Arabidopsis thaliana: one gene and its partners. The protein of the gene in region 2 interacts with the protein of the main gene of each other region in a biochemical or structural test. Each region holds a gene or a part of one and is shown on either strand. Other genes may lie near its edges.

Evidence for each region.
Region 1: the proteins of AT3G03770 (region 2) and AT1G72460 form a complex in vitro, tested with the Arabidopsis thaliana proteins (one large-scale study listed by BioGRID).
Region 3: the proteins of AT3G03770 (region 2) and NIK1 form a complex in vitro, tested with the Arabidopsis thaliana proteins (one large-scale study listed by BioGRID).

Annotation. Positions count from the first base shown.
Region 1 is NC_003070.9:27,277,596-27,282,341, reverse strand, and holds AT1G72460 (Leucine-rich repeat protein kinase family protein), read right to left. Parts: upstream 3,002-4,746; 5' UTR 2,833-3,001; coding exon 1,936-2,832; intron 1,847-1,935; coding exon 809-1,846; 3' UTR 512-808; downstream 1-511.
Region 2 is NC_003074.8:944,561-950,947, forward strand, and holds AT3G03770 (Leucine-rich repeat protein kinase family protein), read right to left. Parts: upstream 4,679-6,387; 5' UTR 4,319-4,678; exon of another isoform or gene 4,236-4,318; 5' UTR 4,144-4,235; intron 3,943-4,143; 5' UTR 3,877-3,942; coding exon 2,541-3,876; intron 2,447-2,540; coding exon 2,313-2,446; intron 2,220-2,312; coding exon 1,979-2,219; intron 1,883-1,978; coding exon 1,677-1,882; intron 1,604-1,676; coding exon 1,560-1,603; intron 1,392-1,559; coding exon 1,280-1,391; intron 1,201-1,279; coding exon 888-1,200; intron 766-887; coding exon 743-765; 3' UTR 517-742; downstream 1-516. Other genes in the region: LBD20 (LOB domain-containing protein 20), read left to right, coding at 1-113.
Region 3 is NC_003076.8:5,221,904-5,227,799, reverse strand, and holds NIK1 (NSP-interacting kinase 1), read right to left. Parts: upstream 3,867-5,896; 5' UTR 3,537-3,866; coding exon 3,413-3,536; intron 3,229-3,412; coding exon 3,096-3,228; intron 3,007-3,095; coding exon 2,935-3,006; intron 2,831-2,934; coding exon 2,687-2,830; intron 2,592-2,686; coding exon 2,520-2,591; intron 2,421-2,519; coding exon 2,361-2,420; intron 2,277-2,360; coding exon 2,179-2,276; intron 2,096-2,178; coding exon 1,946-2,095; intron 1,861-1,945; coding exon 797-1,860; 3' UTR 512-796; downstream 1-511.

The DNA of each region.
Region 1 (4,746 bases), on a different chromosome or scaffold from region 2:
AATCATCACGAAATTTTATTTATTGCAACTTTATACCCATATATATACCTTGATTTGATGCTTGAGAAATTCACCCAAGTCATATTTGTTTGTCCTGATTCAATGTGCATTAGATTTCTAATTAATGCCACTAATTATAATATTGTATCCTACCTATTAATATTAGATTAAAATTGTCATATTAACACAATAATACAATATATTCGTACTCGTATAATTTTTTTGTTCATAGAATATAAGTGATGATTAATAATCAAAATGCAGTGATGGGTCTTTTGTTGTCTGCTAACTTAATTCTGGCCATAATTTAATTAATTCTATGATAGAAAATAATAATAATAATAATAATTTCACGATTCGTTAATCTACAGCTGTGTTTAGCTGTCATACAATTCAATTTATCATTTTTCTTCTTCATCACGTACGACGTATACACAAACACGTGATATAGGCATATTATTGGTTCGTAATTCGTAACTTTCATTGATAATATAATCGATAATGGTGTGTGTTTAATACCAAAATTTACAAGTTGTAATAAAAACAGCAAATCGCTAATGATGTGTGTTTGATTAATACCAAAGTTTACTAGTGGTAATGAAAACAGCAAAACAGACTGATAACTAATCTATGCACAAAACGTTACAACACACATTTTTTGTTTACAAGTAGCCTTAAGTTGACACATTAATCATATACAAATTTAAACAGAAAAACAAGAAGTGGCAAAGTGAAAAAAAAACAAAAAAAAAATCCAAAATTGGTGAATCTGCATGAATCTAACGGTTGGAATTGATCGACGGTGAAGCTAAGTTTCTATGGTGATAAAGTCGTCGTTAGAATCTTCAATAGTCAGTTCATCAACGACTTCAGTCATATTCGGTCTCTGATCTGGATCTTCTCTGGTACATCTCACACCGATCCTTAAAACGTTCTCAATTTCCTCCTCCATAATTTTATCTTCAGCGGCGGCGGTTACCACCATCGGATGAAGCAGATCCATCCAACCACCTTGTTCCAATGCGGAGCCTAACCACTCAACCAAATTTGCCCCACCGGCTCTGTTCAAACCAGCGTATTGAGACGGGAATTTTCCGGTCAAGATCTCAAGTACCACGACTCCGAAACTAAATACATCAGATTTCGCAGAGACGGTTCCATCACGATCCGCTTCTGGAGATTTAAACGCGACGAGAGATTGAGATTGAGCGTCGGGATTGATTAGTTTTTGAAGTCCAAATTCGGAGATGAGTGGCTCGCCGTCTTCCGCAAGAAATATATTGCTTGATTTTAGGTTTCCATGTGGTAGGTTTAGAAACCCTAATTCTCTATGGAGATACCACATTCCCCTAGCGATTCCTTGAATGATTTTGAGTCGAGAAGGCCAATCTAATTGAAATTCTTCGTGGTCTCCGTGTAATCGGTGAAGCAAATTCAAATTAGGAACAAATTCGAACACTAGCAATTTCTCGTCTTGTCGGAAATGGTAAGCTAGGGGCGTTAATACGTTCTTGTGTTGCAAGCTTCCTAGTTTCCTAATCTCCTTGTCGAATACGTCAACACTCACTTGATTCATTACCGTCACACGTTTCACCACTACCGTGACACCGTTTGAAAGAACCGCTTTGTAGGCAGATCCCACGCCTCCGCTACTTCTTGGACGGTTGCTTCCACCGCCGGGATTACCAAGCACGTGAGCCGCCGCTTTCATCAAGTCTGATAAACGGAAAACACCTTTTTCCTTGTTCACCATAACTAGGTCTGATGTCCCCGCCACTCCTTTATTCAATTCGCCGGACCGACTGCTCCTACTCTGCCTTGAGCTATTTGATCCCTCAACAGTTACCTGTCTCAATCATATCAAAATTTTGTGTGATTTTATAGGTTTAAAAACTCTCATTTGAAAATGTGAAAATTACGTGTAGTGGAAGTAACCTGAATTTGTTGGTCGTCACTATTGTCTTGTTCAGAGGTACGACGTGCCTTCTTCCTCCGTCTCTTCTTTTTCTTTTTTCTGAAAGCTAAGGAGACAAGGACGACGATAAGAAGCACTCCTAATGTGCTGAATGCTAGAAAGTATTTGCTCTTATTTGCATCTTTCATTGTTCCTTCTATCGTTATGGATGCAGTCGAATTTTTTGGTTGTGGGCATGGAGTGGATAGCTTGGCACCGCAAAGGCCAGAATTCCCCGCAAAAGTCTTCGCGTCGAATTTCAACAAACCGGGAGGTATTTCTCCGGTTAGTTGGTTGTTTGATAGATCAACAATAGCTAAAGTCGTTTGTGTGAAATTAGGTATACTCCCGATGAATTGATTATTTTCGAGGCGTAACTCAATGAGATTTGGCAATGTAGTTGCCAATGAGATAGGAATGAGACCAGAGAAATGGTTGTTTGACAGCCAAGCTTTCTTTAGCGACACCATTGTTTCGAAATAATCAGAAGGAATGTTACCAGAGAATCGATTTCCTGATATGTAAAGCGACTTCAGAGCGGTTAATCTGTTAAACTCGGGTATGTCACCAGAGAAAGAGTTGTTCATTATGCTTATGGTGCGTAAAGATGGTAGGTCTTTTAACGGAGCGACATCAACTTTTCCTGATAGACCCATTTGTTCGATCTGGAGGCCAAAGACAGAGTTTTTGTTGCAGAGTAATCCGATCCATCGTTGGCTTGCTCCACAAGGTTCTGACTCTGGTGTCCAAGAATCAAGAGACTTGGTGTTGTTTAAGGACTTCTTGAATTTCAATAAAGATTCTGATTCGGTTATCGAATTCGCAGAAAGTGCTGTTAGAGATAGCACGATTGGCCAGATTAGCCAAGCCACGGCCATTTACTTAACCGGAGCTAGGCCGCCGGGAGTTTCAAGCAACTCTTTTTTTTTTTTGATTAATCAAAGTAGTTTTTTTTTTTTTTTTGGTGATTCGATTTACTAATTTTTCTGTATTCCTTGTCTTGTTTCTCGCTTTGTCTCTGTTTTCTCTGTCTTTTGTTTTTCTTTGTCATTTGTGATCCATTGGATGAGAGGAACTTAGGAGCTTATGGCGCGAATGTTCGTTGAAAGAGTCAAGAAGATTGAGAAAAGCAAGAGCGAATAAAAAATAAGCTAAAGATATGCATTTTTGGTTGGCCCATATGAATAATGTTGATTTTAGTTTCCAAGCCCAAACTTGGACAAAGTTGATTATCGTTTCTATAAATAATTTTTAAACCGTAGAAGTGACTTAATTACAAGTATAAGTGTTGTAAGAACAACTATCAAGTAAAAGTGTTGTAAAACCAACTATCAAAACTATATTTTTTACGTGTTACGTGTGAAAACTATTAAGTGATACTCCAAATTTTGCCATACTACAAGATAACGCATGTAAATAAATTTTATGGGAAAAACAAATGGTTTTGGCATTAGGACCAAGAGCATATAATCTTAAAACTCGTACAACATTTGGTTCAGTTCTAGCTAACGTGACCTTTTAAGTGGACCACTTCATCATTTGGATTTTCCTCCTGATGCTTAGTTATGTCGGATTTCTAATTTACTCACTATAGCATGACAAAAAATGTATCCCTATGCCGAAAAAAGAAAGAAATTTGATAAATGTAAAACAAATTGACGCCACCAAATGTAATCATCAATCAGTTTTAGCTTTTACAGTTCCTAACTATTTCCAAATATGAGAATATCGAAAGAATAGTTATAAGTTTCTTATGTATCATGAGTAAAATACTCTAATACTCAATTACTCATGATATTATATGCAACTAAACAAAATATTTGTCTAATCTATTAATTTTCTGTAGACCATGACATGTATTCTAATGATTTGACTTAGTGTCCTTGTTGTATTTCTATCCGGTTTCAATTATGCAATTGTTGAAAAAATGTTATTCCTGTTCCGCATGTAATGGATACTTATTAATATGCGATAATCTTTAGGCACATATGTTATTGTCATAGTACAAGAGGAGCATGTGAAGAAGCTGCAACATTTTGGTGTTCACATCCAAAGTATCTGTCGGTGTCAAAGAACCAATTTGTTTTAGTCATTGTTGTAAAACGGACCTACATTCGTAGTCGTTACCCCTAAATTTTAAACAAATTTTATGTTTAGTATTGTCATACGTCAATGCAAATGAGTTGTATAATCTTTCAATATTGTCTTCTAATTTTATTTTATTTTCTGATAAGTACCATTTTATTTATGAAGATAACGACTGTACAGAGAATTCCCACCACAAGCTCAAGCTGCAAGACCAAACTTACCCGAAGACAACCTGTTACAGAGACACGCTAGCTCGTAACACTAGATAGAAAGGAAATCTTACCCAGCTCAAAGATTAAGTCTGAAGCACACCTAACCCAAAACTGTTGACACCATCTTGATTATGTCCATATATGAACTTAGGTCTCAAAACAACAACTATTTATTTGATAAATGTTGATATACTCTATTGCTTAAAGGAGAGTCCAACTTCGAGTGGTGACCGGAAGGTTTCGCCGTTGCCTTTTCTTTTTTGCCGTTAACGTTGGTTTGGTAGTCTTAGTAGAATCTTCTCACAATCTTGATTTTTGCATATCAAATCTGTTAGAATATGACATTCCCTTATTTTGGACATGATCAAATATGTGATCGAAACCCAACTTGCGCTTCCAACAATGTAGATAATCTTCATGTGAAATAGCGAATATTATTTGGTCTTTTGTATGTATTAGAAAATGACAATGGATCTATATTGTGTAATTAAA
Region 2 (6,387 bases):
ATTATCAGCATGAGGATGAGGAAGAGAGCGGTGCTGATTTTTCGGTGGCTGTTGGATCGACGGCGGTGGCTTCGAAGGTTATATTTCCGGCGGAGGATTTTCACCGGAGATGAATGTATTACCTAGGGTTTGTCTTTAATTTAAATATATCTCCGTTTTTATAATAATGTTGAGAAAGAGAATAAGTATATCCAGCAGACGTATACTATACATGTAGAGTTGTCGTGAAATATTTGAATGAGATATATGCATGTAGTTATTGGTTAATTATCATACTAGTTGGAATTAACTGAATTTACATACGAATCCAAATTAATAAATAAGTAAAGGATTTGATGATCCAACACCAGCCATTATCCTCTATTTTGATTTCTTGGACAAGAAGAATCAATCAAGCAAATCTTTTCTAAACCCTAGAAATCGGTTCCATCTCAATTTCTATATACAATTTTAATTTATTTTCGCTGAACAAAACAGGAAGAAAAAACGATTGAATTTTCCAAAATTATCTCACCATTGTTGGACTTGTATTCCTTTTGAAGAATAAAAATTAACCGACACTGTTCTTTTAAGTAAAGTTTATAAGAAAAATTAACTATATTATTAACTGTTATGATCGTTTAAGCTCAACACAACTAAAGACAAAAAAACAAAAACAAACATCAAATTACAAACAAAAAGGTTATGTTCTTTCCAAAGAGTAGTGATCAGTGAACAAGACCAAACAAAAACCCTCGTCTCTCTACCTCTCATGTTCTTCACATCCTGCAATTACAACCACACAAATAAGTCTCAGATCAATAAACTTATTCAATCTCAAATCTTTAACAATCAAATTCTATTCTGAACTGAATCAATTGATCATAAAAGATCGAGTTCAAAAATACCTGAATCTCGGGGAGATTCGAGTGTTGTTACGTGTAAACGAGAGGGAGGAGGAAGAGAGGAAGCAGCAGGAGAAGGCGAGCCGAGATTGCTCGAGGGATTGCTGTTTTGTAGCCAACCTTCTTGAACTTGAGAAGCAAACTGAAGATTCCACAGGACATCTTCAATGGAAGGACGTTCTAAAGGGTCTTTAAGGAGACACCTTACACATATCTCCATCATTGTCTTCAGTGATTGGTCTGAACAAGCTCTATGGACCGTTGGATCCACCATGCTCCTACGTGCTCCATCATCCGCTGAAATGCTTGCTTGTAACTACAACAAATAAAAAAGAGTTTTTAAAGTAGATGATAGCGATTCCACATCAAGCTACATATATATCGAATGGTGTTACCTGCTCTTTTAGAACATCGACTTGACTCTTTGCTCTCAATGGTCTTCCCACTATAAGTTCAAGCAATATCACTCCAAAATCATAGATATCGATTTTATCTTCGTCTTTGATGCTGTTAAGAAACAGAGGATTAAACCATATAAACCGGTTTACAAGCTGATGAGAAACAGAGGATTAAACCATATAAACCGTTTTTGATTCTTTTGAGAAACAGAGGATTAAACCATATAACCGGGTTTACAAGCTGATGAGAAACAGAGTAAAGAAGATTATTACACACCTTGGAGTGCCTTTAGGTCCGCTCCGAGATCCTACTTGCCCCACCTTAGAAAGGAAAGCAAAAGAGATTCAAAATTCAAGAAACAAAAACATTCGAACTTTTGACATCGTCATTTACCTTTCCAAGACCTTCCACAAGCAATGGAAGATTATAGCTACTGAGTTTCGCCGCAAGGTTATTGTCAAGCAAAATGTCTGTCATTTTAAGGTTGTTATCATAAACACCAGGCACAATACCGGTATGCAAGAACTGGATCCCTTTTGCTACACCTATCGCTACGCTTATGCGTTGTTCCCAAGTAAGCAATCTTCCCATGTGCCCATCTAGCACAGCAGAGACAAGAACAATCCGATTTAGTTATTAAAAAATATATAATGATCATCTTCATTCTTAAAACACATGATGTTTCAGTGTGGTACCAGAAATCCAGGTCCTGAGTTCTCCATTTGGGACATACTCAAAGACAAAGAACATTCTGCTGACTGTTGAATCATCCAAGTAGCACTCGAAGCAGTGCCCGAGCACACTAACCAAGTGACGGTGCCGCAGTTTAGCGATGAGCTCAATGTGATGCATCAAGTTTTGTGTGCTGCAACTTTTCTTCATTTTCAGACACCTAATTGCCACAAAGGATCCATCTTTCAATCTCCCTCTATAAATCTGAAAAGAACAATGAAAACAAAAATCTTGTTTGATTCAACTGTTCAAAAAATGGAAACTAGCTAAAGAAAGATTGAAGCTTCACTGCTGTACCTGTCCTTGAGAACCTTCACCCATGAAAGCAGAGGATTCAAAGTTATTTGTTGCATACTCGAGCTCCTCCAGTGAGAATGTCCTGTAAGCTGGAAGACCGAGCCCTCCTAGCTTCATTGTTTGAGAGATATACCCTTCAAAGTATTGCAGTTACAGCACAAGTTATCAATGAAGACAAGTTCTATGTAATCTATGTGACAATATGTGAGAGATATTTTATCCTCTTACTTGCATCTGATAGTAGTTTCGATGTGTACCCCATTGAAGCATTCTCTCTAATCAATCTTGGGGAAGATTTCGTCACTGTTTTCTTAGCATTTAATCTCCTAAGAACCACAAATAAGGCACCGGCGAGGAGAAGTACCCCGAGAATGCTTGCGGTTACACCTAAAGCAATACCCACTTTGGAAACTTTGTTCCTCCTCTGTGGTAGGATTCCAACAGCAAGAGCTTCATTACTACAAAAAGAAACTGGACGTTGATCTTCATTCGTAGTAGCCAAACAGTTGCTTGCATAGACAACATCTCTGCTAGTGCCGGAACTCGGTTTAAGGCAAGTAGGCAAACTTCCGGTAAGAAGATTTGATGACATATCTACAAACATCAGCTGTGAGTTGCAAGAAAGATTTGCTGAAAGCCGCCCGGTGAGTTTGTTGTGTGAAATGTTCAAGTAAGTTATCGCGGGAAGAGACATCAAGGAAGTAGGAAATGGACCAACGAATGTATTGTAGGAAAGATCCAAATGTTGAAGCTGATACAGAGAACTTACTTCTTCAGCTGAAACTGCAGATCTAAACTTGTTCTTGCTGAGTATAAGAGTAACCAGCTTGTTACTTAACCGAGGAAACAACGGTCCAAAAGAGTTTCCTTCAAGATCAAGCACTTGAAGGTTTGTCAAATGGCTTAAATCAGGCAAAGCTCCATTAAACCGGTTATTAGCTAAAGCAAGAACTCTAAGACCTGACAAGCTACTCAAAGAAGAAGGCAATGACCCATTAAGCACGTTCTTTCTCAAGCTCAACACAGCTAAACTCGGCAAAGAATCAATCCAATCCGGTAACTCACCAGAAAACATATTCTCGTCGAGTATAAGCGTCTGAAGAGTAGCAAGCGACGAGAGTTCATGAGGGATTGGTCCAAAGAGGAAATTGGAACTCACATTGAGAATCTCCAAAGAGGATAAACGGTTGATTTTCTGAGGTAACCAACCCCATAACCCAAGGGACACAAACGTGAGAACTTTAACATCAGGGAGCTTAACAAGAGTAGTAACAAACGAGTTTATTGAGAAACTCTTTGGTAACATATGAGTTCCATTGTCTCCTATAATGTGAAGCTGCGTTACACTATCTTCATAACACACAACGGTTAGCGAAGGGCTTGGCTCAGAATTGCAGAAATCTGTATAGTTGTTCCAGCTGTTTAACACTTTGGGATAGTAGAGAAGCTGTTGCAGCCTCAAGAGGGTTTGAGATTGAGATGATTGTAGCTGTGTAGAGCCATCAATGGAAGCTAAAAGCAGAACCAGAAGCAGTAACGGCATGCCACAATAGAGTTTCTCCATAGCCACACAAGACCATAAAACACACACAACTACTAAATAAAATCATATAAGCATCATCATCAAAACCTGCAAAGAGAGAGACACATTTCATTCAAGAATCACATTTATATATAATGTACTTACAAAACAGGGTCCACTCTCAAGATCTTGATATTTTAACCACTTTCTCGTTAATGCATTAAACAGAAGAGAATCTTAGAAATCAATCTTCAAACTAAAAAAATATGATTTTTGCATGTGAATTCCAGAAAAACAGGAAGAACTCACCACATGTGTTACAGAATCTCCTCTTTAAGACACCTTGCAAGAAGAAAAGATGCAGGAAACTTTTGAGCACAAGAGATTAAATTTTATTTTTCCTGGAAACAAAATTTGGTTTCATCAGAGTAAGAAGAATGAGAAAATGAAAAGACAAATCGTTTCCTTTGAGATGAAGAAATACCTCTGCAAACTTATGAAGTAACTGTGAATGGAATATCGATTTTATCTAAAGAAACAAAAAAAGTAGCAACTTGATTTAAAGAAGAAAGTGAGAAAAGTTCCCAAGAAAATCCTCTGTAAGAGATGAAAGTTCCTCAAGGAGCTTTAAAAACATTCAAGATTCCTTCACGAGTGATTATTATATCTTATAAGAATAAAACAGAGGATACTCTGGGAACAATATTAACCCAACAAACTTTTTTTATTTTTTAAATAGACAATAAACAAAAACAAATTCTGTAAAATCAATGCAAAAACATTTTAGCAACCATACGATTTAGTAAATTGTCAGTGGCTAACGACAGAGAGTTTGGTCCTCCTCTCTAAGTCTCCATCACGAGATGAAGACAACGATAAATTCTTTTTACAAAAATAATTTTAAAACAAACAAACAAAATAGAAATAGAATTTTTTTGTCCAAAAAATAATCTTGTAAGTGTTCACATGCATTTTTAACAAATTAAAAAAGAAAAAAAAAAAAGCGAATCCAACAGGGTCTGGCCGACGTTTTTTTCTGATCTTTTTATTTTTGGTTGTCTCACTATTTATACAGTACACAAAGTAAATTATTTTATCAGCATTAAATATGTTCATATTATATTATCACTTTCAAAAAAATAGGGACCAAAGAGAAATCCACTCCAGCCAAAGCTGTGGCCAAGAAAAAGTAAAAAGACAAAAAAAAAAAGAAAGATAAAAAGGTAATGATAAGAGAAATATTCTTTTAGGGTTTAGGCCTTTAGGGGGATGATCTACAAATACGAGTCTGAGGCAAACAAGTCTTTATATAGTATAGATTTAATTTTGATATTTTTTTAAAGTTTCTTATATGAATATTAATTTGATTGAGAAAAGTCTGTCTATCAATTAATTGGGTATGCTAAGTTAAACAAGATTAATCAAGAATGAGTAAACAAAACCAAGTAAATTAGTGTAACTCTAATTTTGTTTTGAATTTTGATCATGTAAGAAAGCTGAAAACAAACTAAACATAAAAACCACAACAACTACACCGGAATTTTATCAAAAACTAGGCTTAAAACCAAACTGAAAGAAAAAAAAAAGATCCATCCAAAAACTTAAATCTGAAAGAGGTAATATATATATTTAAGGTGAAAATAAAAAGAAAGCGAAGTTGTGACACATACTGTAATGTAAGCTTTCGCACGAAGGCATCTCCATCAGAAAGGTCACACCAGACTTTTAAAGTGACACATGTAGGTCCCAATCTTCTCCGACCTTTTCAAAGTTCAAGAAAACAATCTTAATACAACAAATTAGCTCACATATAATATGATCAATAAAGAATAACATGCAAGGAATTGGAAATCAAATTAACAAACAATTTAAACTAAACTCGTGTATTTAATCATATTAAATTGAAACTAAGGCATGATGTCTTAATCTCTTGACTACTCTCACGTGCCATGAGTGATTCATCTTTTTATTAATCTTGTAGTTTTTTTTAATATGATTCATAGTTGCAGGTATAAGAAAACAAGTAAAGTAAATGCTTACAAACATAAGAAAACAAAATTCTGTGAAATTTTAGTCCACCTGGTTTTATATAAGCATCTTCTTCTGTTAGATTTTTCTGTGCATCGTTTAGGAATAAATATTTAATTTTAATTTATCTTATTTTTTTCCTTCATTTTGCGTGTTTCATTTTTTGGTTAGTTTTGTTTTGTATCTGTTGGTTGCATGTCTCAATAGTCAATGTCGTCGTATACAATCATAGTTTAAATAAAACTAAAAATTGTTGGTGCAGCTTATAATCGACTAGCCAACTTTAAACAATACGAAATAGAACGTGGTAATTTCCAATTTCGATTTCTTTTTCCTTAACAAAAAAAGATTGATCTTTAATTTGGTAGACGAAAAGAAAATTAATAACGGCTAGAAATACATTTATACGACTATTTTAACTGGTAGTGAAAATTGATCGACTGGCAACTATAAAATTAATATATTATGAAAATTTATTGGCTAAGTGAAGTAATTTGAGATTATTTCATAGAAATACATTTATAC
Region 3 (5,896 bases), on a different chromosome or scaffold from region 2:
TAACTGTCTTTTTCTTTCATATAAACGTATAGAATGTGCGTGTAATTCTTGACTTTGCATATTGTTAATGTTATCAAACCAAATCATATCACTATATGTGATTCTGACTTTGATGAAGCTATTGTGTGAACGTTTCCATTTGTAGGTATAAAGTGTGACTTTGAATCTAGTGTGAACCATGTATACATAGATTATTGCCGTTTTTATATTTCATGGACGGTCCACGTCCACGTGGTGTTTCCTTATATACACAAACACGTCGTTTCTTTGACGGAGAGAACAACTTCATGCCGTTTTCTTGAAAACACATTCTCGACGTTTCATCATCCATTGAAAACGAAAGTAAAGTTCCGTTTAAGTTTTGGCAACATATGAACTACGTGTTGTCTTTATGAGAGACATTTCTTCTTTTTTTCACTTTACCTTTTCCTATCAGTAGGTCAGGTGTGTGTGCAAAACAAACAATGAAACTAGTTTGCATTAATGAAAATTTTTAACTTGTGGAGTTGGATCCAATAATAAGATAAATTTCATTCTCAAACATGAATTCCCAAATTTCACACATGAAATCTCCCAAAGTGTTCCCTCTATTCAACGCAACTAATCATTTTTTATGTAAAGAACTTTGAATTAACCCTAAGTGCAGTAATAACTTCTTACACAACAAGCCTATACAGTTACAGAGACACAACATTTCCCTCCAAAAAACCTCTCTATTATACAAAAAAACAAGAATCCCTCTTGATTCAAGAAACAGATGCATGTTCTTCTTCTTCTTCAGATTCATGTATAGATTTCATCTAGGACCAGAGAGCTCCATTGCTTGCACAAGTAAACTAGAGTCATCGGTAAGATCAGAGTATCTGTCTGAAGATGACATCAATTCATTTATCCTGTTGCTACATTTTGAAACACTGTCTGATCTTTGAGAAGCTTCCCATTTCTCTGCAAGTCCATCTCCTTCCAGCATTCGAACAACTTCAGACATTTTTGGTCTATGTCCTGGCAGGTACTGTGTGCACAACAAAGCTACTCTTACCATTTCGTCTAACTCAATCTCATCGTAGCTCTTCTTCTTCAACAACTCTTTATCCACAAGTAGCTCAAGTTTCTTCTCTTGATGAATCTTTTTAACCCAATCAAGCATCACACCTTTCTGGTTAGCCGCTTTACCAAACTCAAAAGCTCTTTGTCCGGTTACAAGCTCAAGAAGAAGAATCCCGAAGCCAAAAACATCTGTTTTCTCAGAGGATTGACCAGTTGAGAGATACTCTGGAGCAATGTGACCCACCGTGCCTCTAACCGCGGTTGTCACATGAGAATCTTGATGATCCAAGAGTTTAGCTAAACCAAAATCGCCAACCACAGCTTCACAGTAGTCATCAAGAAGTATATTCGCTGCTTTGACATCGCGGTGGATAATCTTCGGATCACATTGCTCATGGAGATACACAAGCCCTCTTGCAGCTCCTATGGCTATCCTCTTCCTTATGCTCCAGTCAAGAACAGGTTTTGCTTTCATTCGAGATGCAACGCTTCCATTAGACATATAAGGATAAACTAGAAGCTTCTCAGTTTGTGTGATGCAGAAACCGTAGAGTCTTAAGAGATTTCGATGAACAGCTAAACTGATCATTTCAACTTCTGTCTGAAACTGAATCTCTCCTCCCAATGCTCCTCCATCTTTAAGCCTTTTCACTGCAACCACTGTACTATCTCCAAGTATTCCTTTGTATACATTTCCATAGCCACCTTTCCCCAATAAGTTCTTACTGCTGAAGTTATTGGTCGCAATCTGAAGCTCCCTGAAACCAAATCTCCTCAGGTTTCCAAGTGAAACTTCCTCATGATGATTCCCATCTGTTGAATAAAAGAACTTTCTTTATAAAAAAAAAAAACTTTATAAGATTGTTCTGTGCAAGTAATAAACTGAGTAAGATCAAACCTTTAACATCAAAGAATGTGTTTTGGTTATGTCTTTGTCTCCACCAGAGAAACAAACCAACAGCAATGAAGATTAATGATACAGTCCCAACGCTGGATCCAACAGCGATTGCCATTTTGTGATTCCTCGATCCACCGGCGTATAAAGGAACTTAAAAAAGAAAGCAGTTTGTTGTTAGTTAGGTATGATCATAATACTAAGATTGAAAGTTTTAAAGGAAGTTCGTTATTTACCTCCAGTTTGATTCAAGTTCATAGACATAGGTATCAATGTTGTTCCATTGCAGTCTGGTTCGGTACCCGTTGGACATATCAGCGGGTTCCCAACGATGCTGTAATCCGAAGGGAAACAATGAAAGGTTATCATACGGACAAAGAGAGTGAAAGAGTGAGACATTGTCAATAAATCAAATTACCTAAACGTCTTTGCAGCAAATCTTGGAACAGGACCACTAAGATTGTTGTATGATAAATCACTGGAAACAAAAAAAAAAACAGATCAAATCTCAACATTTCATGTCTCTACATATGAATTTCTTTACTGGTTAATGTAAACTGAAGATTTATTAGCTTACAGAAAGGCAAGTTGAGTCATATTAGATAGTGACAGAGGAAACACTCCAGAGAGAGAATTGTTGTTAAGCCTCCTGATGATACACAACATGACATATCAAGATCACAAATTCCTTATAAAAACAACACAAAATTTAAAAGATCCATAACAAATTTTTACTATTCTTACAGATATTGCAGGCTTTGTAGATAGCCTACTGAAAAAGGAATTTCACCGTGGAAGAAATTATCAGAAAGATCAAGAGTCTCAAGCCTCGTAAGCCGACCAATCTCAGCAGGAATTTTTCCTTTTATGTTGTTGTTCTGCAACAGCCTGTAAGAGGAAAAAATCATCAAGAACACACACACACACACAAAACAGAAGAATTTAATCAAATTTTAAACTTAATAATCATTTAGTGAACAGTAAGTACTTACACAATCCGAAGATTTGTTAAGTTGGTAATGCTTGGAGATAGTGTACCAGATAAATTCTGACTTGGTGTGCCTCTGTAATAAAATTTATATCATTGTTTTCCTTGCTTGCTCATCAGTGTAATATACAGTATAAGTGTATCAATGTAAAATGTGAAACTTACAAGCCAATGACAAAGTTTTCAGAAGAACAAGTGACCATTGTCCAACTACAAGGATCAACAGCATCTCTATCCCAGTTATCAAGAACACCATGAGGATCATGTAATGAAGCTTTTATGTCCATCAAAGCTTGCACTGACGAAAATAAAAAACTCCCATATTAGTTTGGATCAAGAAGAAATATATACTTTTATTTGAATTCCCATCAACTAAAAATTCCAGAAAGACCAAATATCAAACACTTCATCTACGAAAGTGACAATGTAAAAAAAAAAAAAAGAGAGAGAATCCAAAGAGTGAGACTTTACAGTGAATATACCTTCAAAGTTAACACCTTTAGGAGAAAGCAATCCGTGAACAGAAGAGCAGAGAAGGCATAAAAATCCCAAGAAGCAAAAGAAAGATCTTGTTATCATCATCATCATAACAATAGTACTCTCCATTGTTGAAACAGAGGAATGAGCAGAAAACAAGATGTACTCAGCTTCCAGATAATTTGGTATTTGATGGAGAGAGAAAGACAGAGAGAGTGAGATTGGAAGAATCAAAAAACCAAATCTCTATCCTTTTTTCATTTCAATTTTGGTTAAAGTATAAAAACATTTCAACATCAAGATGAACCCACTTCACCAAAAGCATAACCTTTATTTTAAAAAAAACTATTTTTTTGTATGTCAGAAACAAGATATACAAACTTTATAGAGATACCAGATTCATTGGTAGTCTAAAGTGAAATTAGAATAGCATGCTTGTCGATAAAGTTTGTGTGTGGGGAGACCGTTAAAAAAGTAATAAATTTATATTAAAAATTTGTAAGAAAAGATATTATAAAAATAATTTTGCCCATATTGTTTCTTGTAATCGACAAGAATAGTCAGTAAAGCAAATCTATATTTTGTGTATTTCAAAAATTTTGAAGGGTAAAGCAGGAAATTAGATTACTGTTCTTTTGCTAGCTGCCACCCTGTCATGTTTTTGTCTATGGTTTCTAATTTTAGTTTAGAATATACAGTGTTTTTGTTACATTTTCCTATTTCTTAATTTATTTCACATTACACTTACATAGATTGTTTTTCGAGTGTTGAAATCTGATGAAAAAGAGTTGTTAAGTTTCAAGGGTATGATTAAATCACATTGTTGACTGATTGCTTGGTGTAAACGGAACCCAACAATCCATGGTTGGTCATGCATAGGCTAGACTTTATTAATTCCTCCGTATATAGAATGTTTTTGTATGCAATTTTTTTTTTTTTTTTTGATTAATATGTTTTGAGAATGTGAGAACTTCGATGAGAAGATTATACTGTATGAAAAACTAGGCTCAAGATACTTCTGTCTACTATATTGATTTTGTTGCCCACTCAAATTTTCAGCATCTTTGTCTTCTCGATGTGTGGAAATACGAAGATATTAGTACAAGTATTGAAGGATAAGCTTTTTTTTCTTCAAAAAAATGTTGTAAGTTAATTATTTATAATAGTCTTTTAAAAAATTTAGATCTAAAAGAAATAAATTCGATAAATCCCACTAAGAGCAACGATCACATTTAACTTCCATCAGGAAAACAAATCTGTATAGATAACAAATTTCAGAATACAACACCTTTTCTTAATAGTCAAAATGCAAATATTTTAACCCACTCTTTTTTTATTTGACTACTACAAGATTTATATTCACAATAAGATTTTCAATATTTTGTAGTGTGTAGTAATAATAGATGTATAAGATAACCCAGTATCCAAGTCCAAGACATTACAATTTGTCCAAACCTCGTGTCGTTTTCATGGGTTTTTGTCTATGTGTGAGTTGGCAGTAATATTATGACATGCATTTGCATTTGTTCGAAGTATATACTACTATATGATCTTAAAACGAATATGGTTTACCTGGTTAAGTGAAATACTTAATTATCATCATTCATTATAGTTATGCTGGCTTTTAAAGATTTCAATCATCTGAAATTTTGGAGAAGTTTTTTTATAATATTACATAAACTAGTAAATATATCTTGTAATTTCATTTTTCCCTTAACCAAATTTTTGAAACTTAACGTCAAATTATCTTGTTTCGAAAAGTTGGTTAACAGAAAAATTACACAATAATATTTGCTTAGATTCTGATTTCGATCAACAAAGTACGTAATATGTGTTTACTATATCAAGAAATGTTGTTTACTTAGTAAGAATACATGTGAATCATTTATTTTTCTTGTAATGGAGCACACATTAAAAATGATTTTGCAAGGTTCTATTTATTTAACTATATATATTCACATTCGTACATCATCGTTATCTTCATCAATGCGTACCGACCTGTAAACCAAAAGGAAAGAAACAAAAACAAATATTCTAAATTTGTGGTGAACAAACAATATATAAAATTTCCTTGTTCAAGAACTACTTTCATTCCTAGTCAAGTTTTTATAGTTTGGTCTCCACGTGACACGGTTTCTTAAAACTCGATTTATGAGAAACAATCATTAATATTTAATGCTTTTTCTCGTTGATTTGACGTTTGATGGTAAATGGGTTCTGTGACTTTCAGGGGAAACAAAAATGAAAATCATAAATTTTTATAAGATTACAAAACATGACATGAACTATTGTGCAGAATGCAGATAGGGAAAAATGGTTCCCAACTTGAGTCCTATGCCTAGGGCACTGAAGCTAAATTGTCTCAACTTCAATCATGTTAGGGAGACTGCATGATTGGTTATATTAGATTATTGGCCATAGTTTTATATGAACTCACGAAAGTTTTTTTCCCGTGATTACTACAGTCTTCAGATTTTGTAAATTAGTTT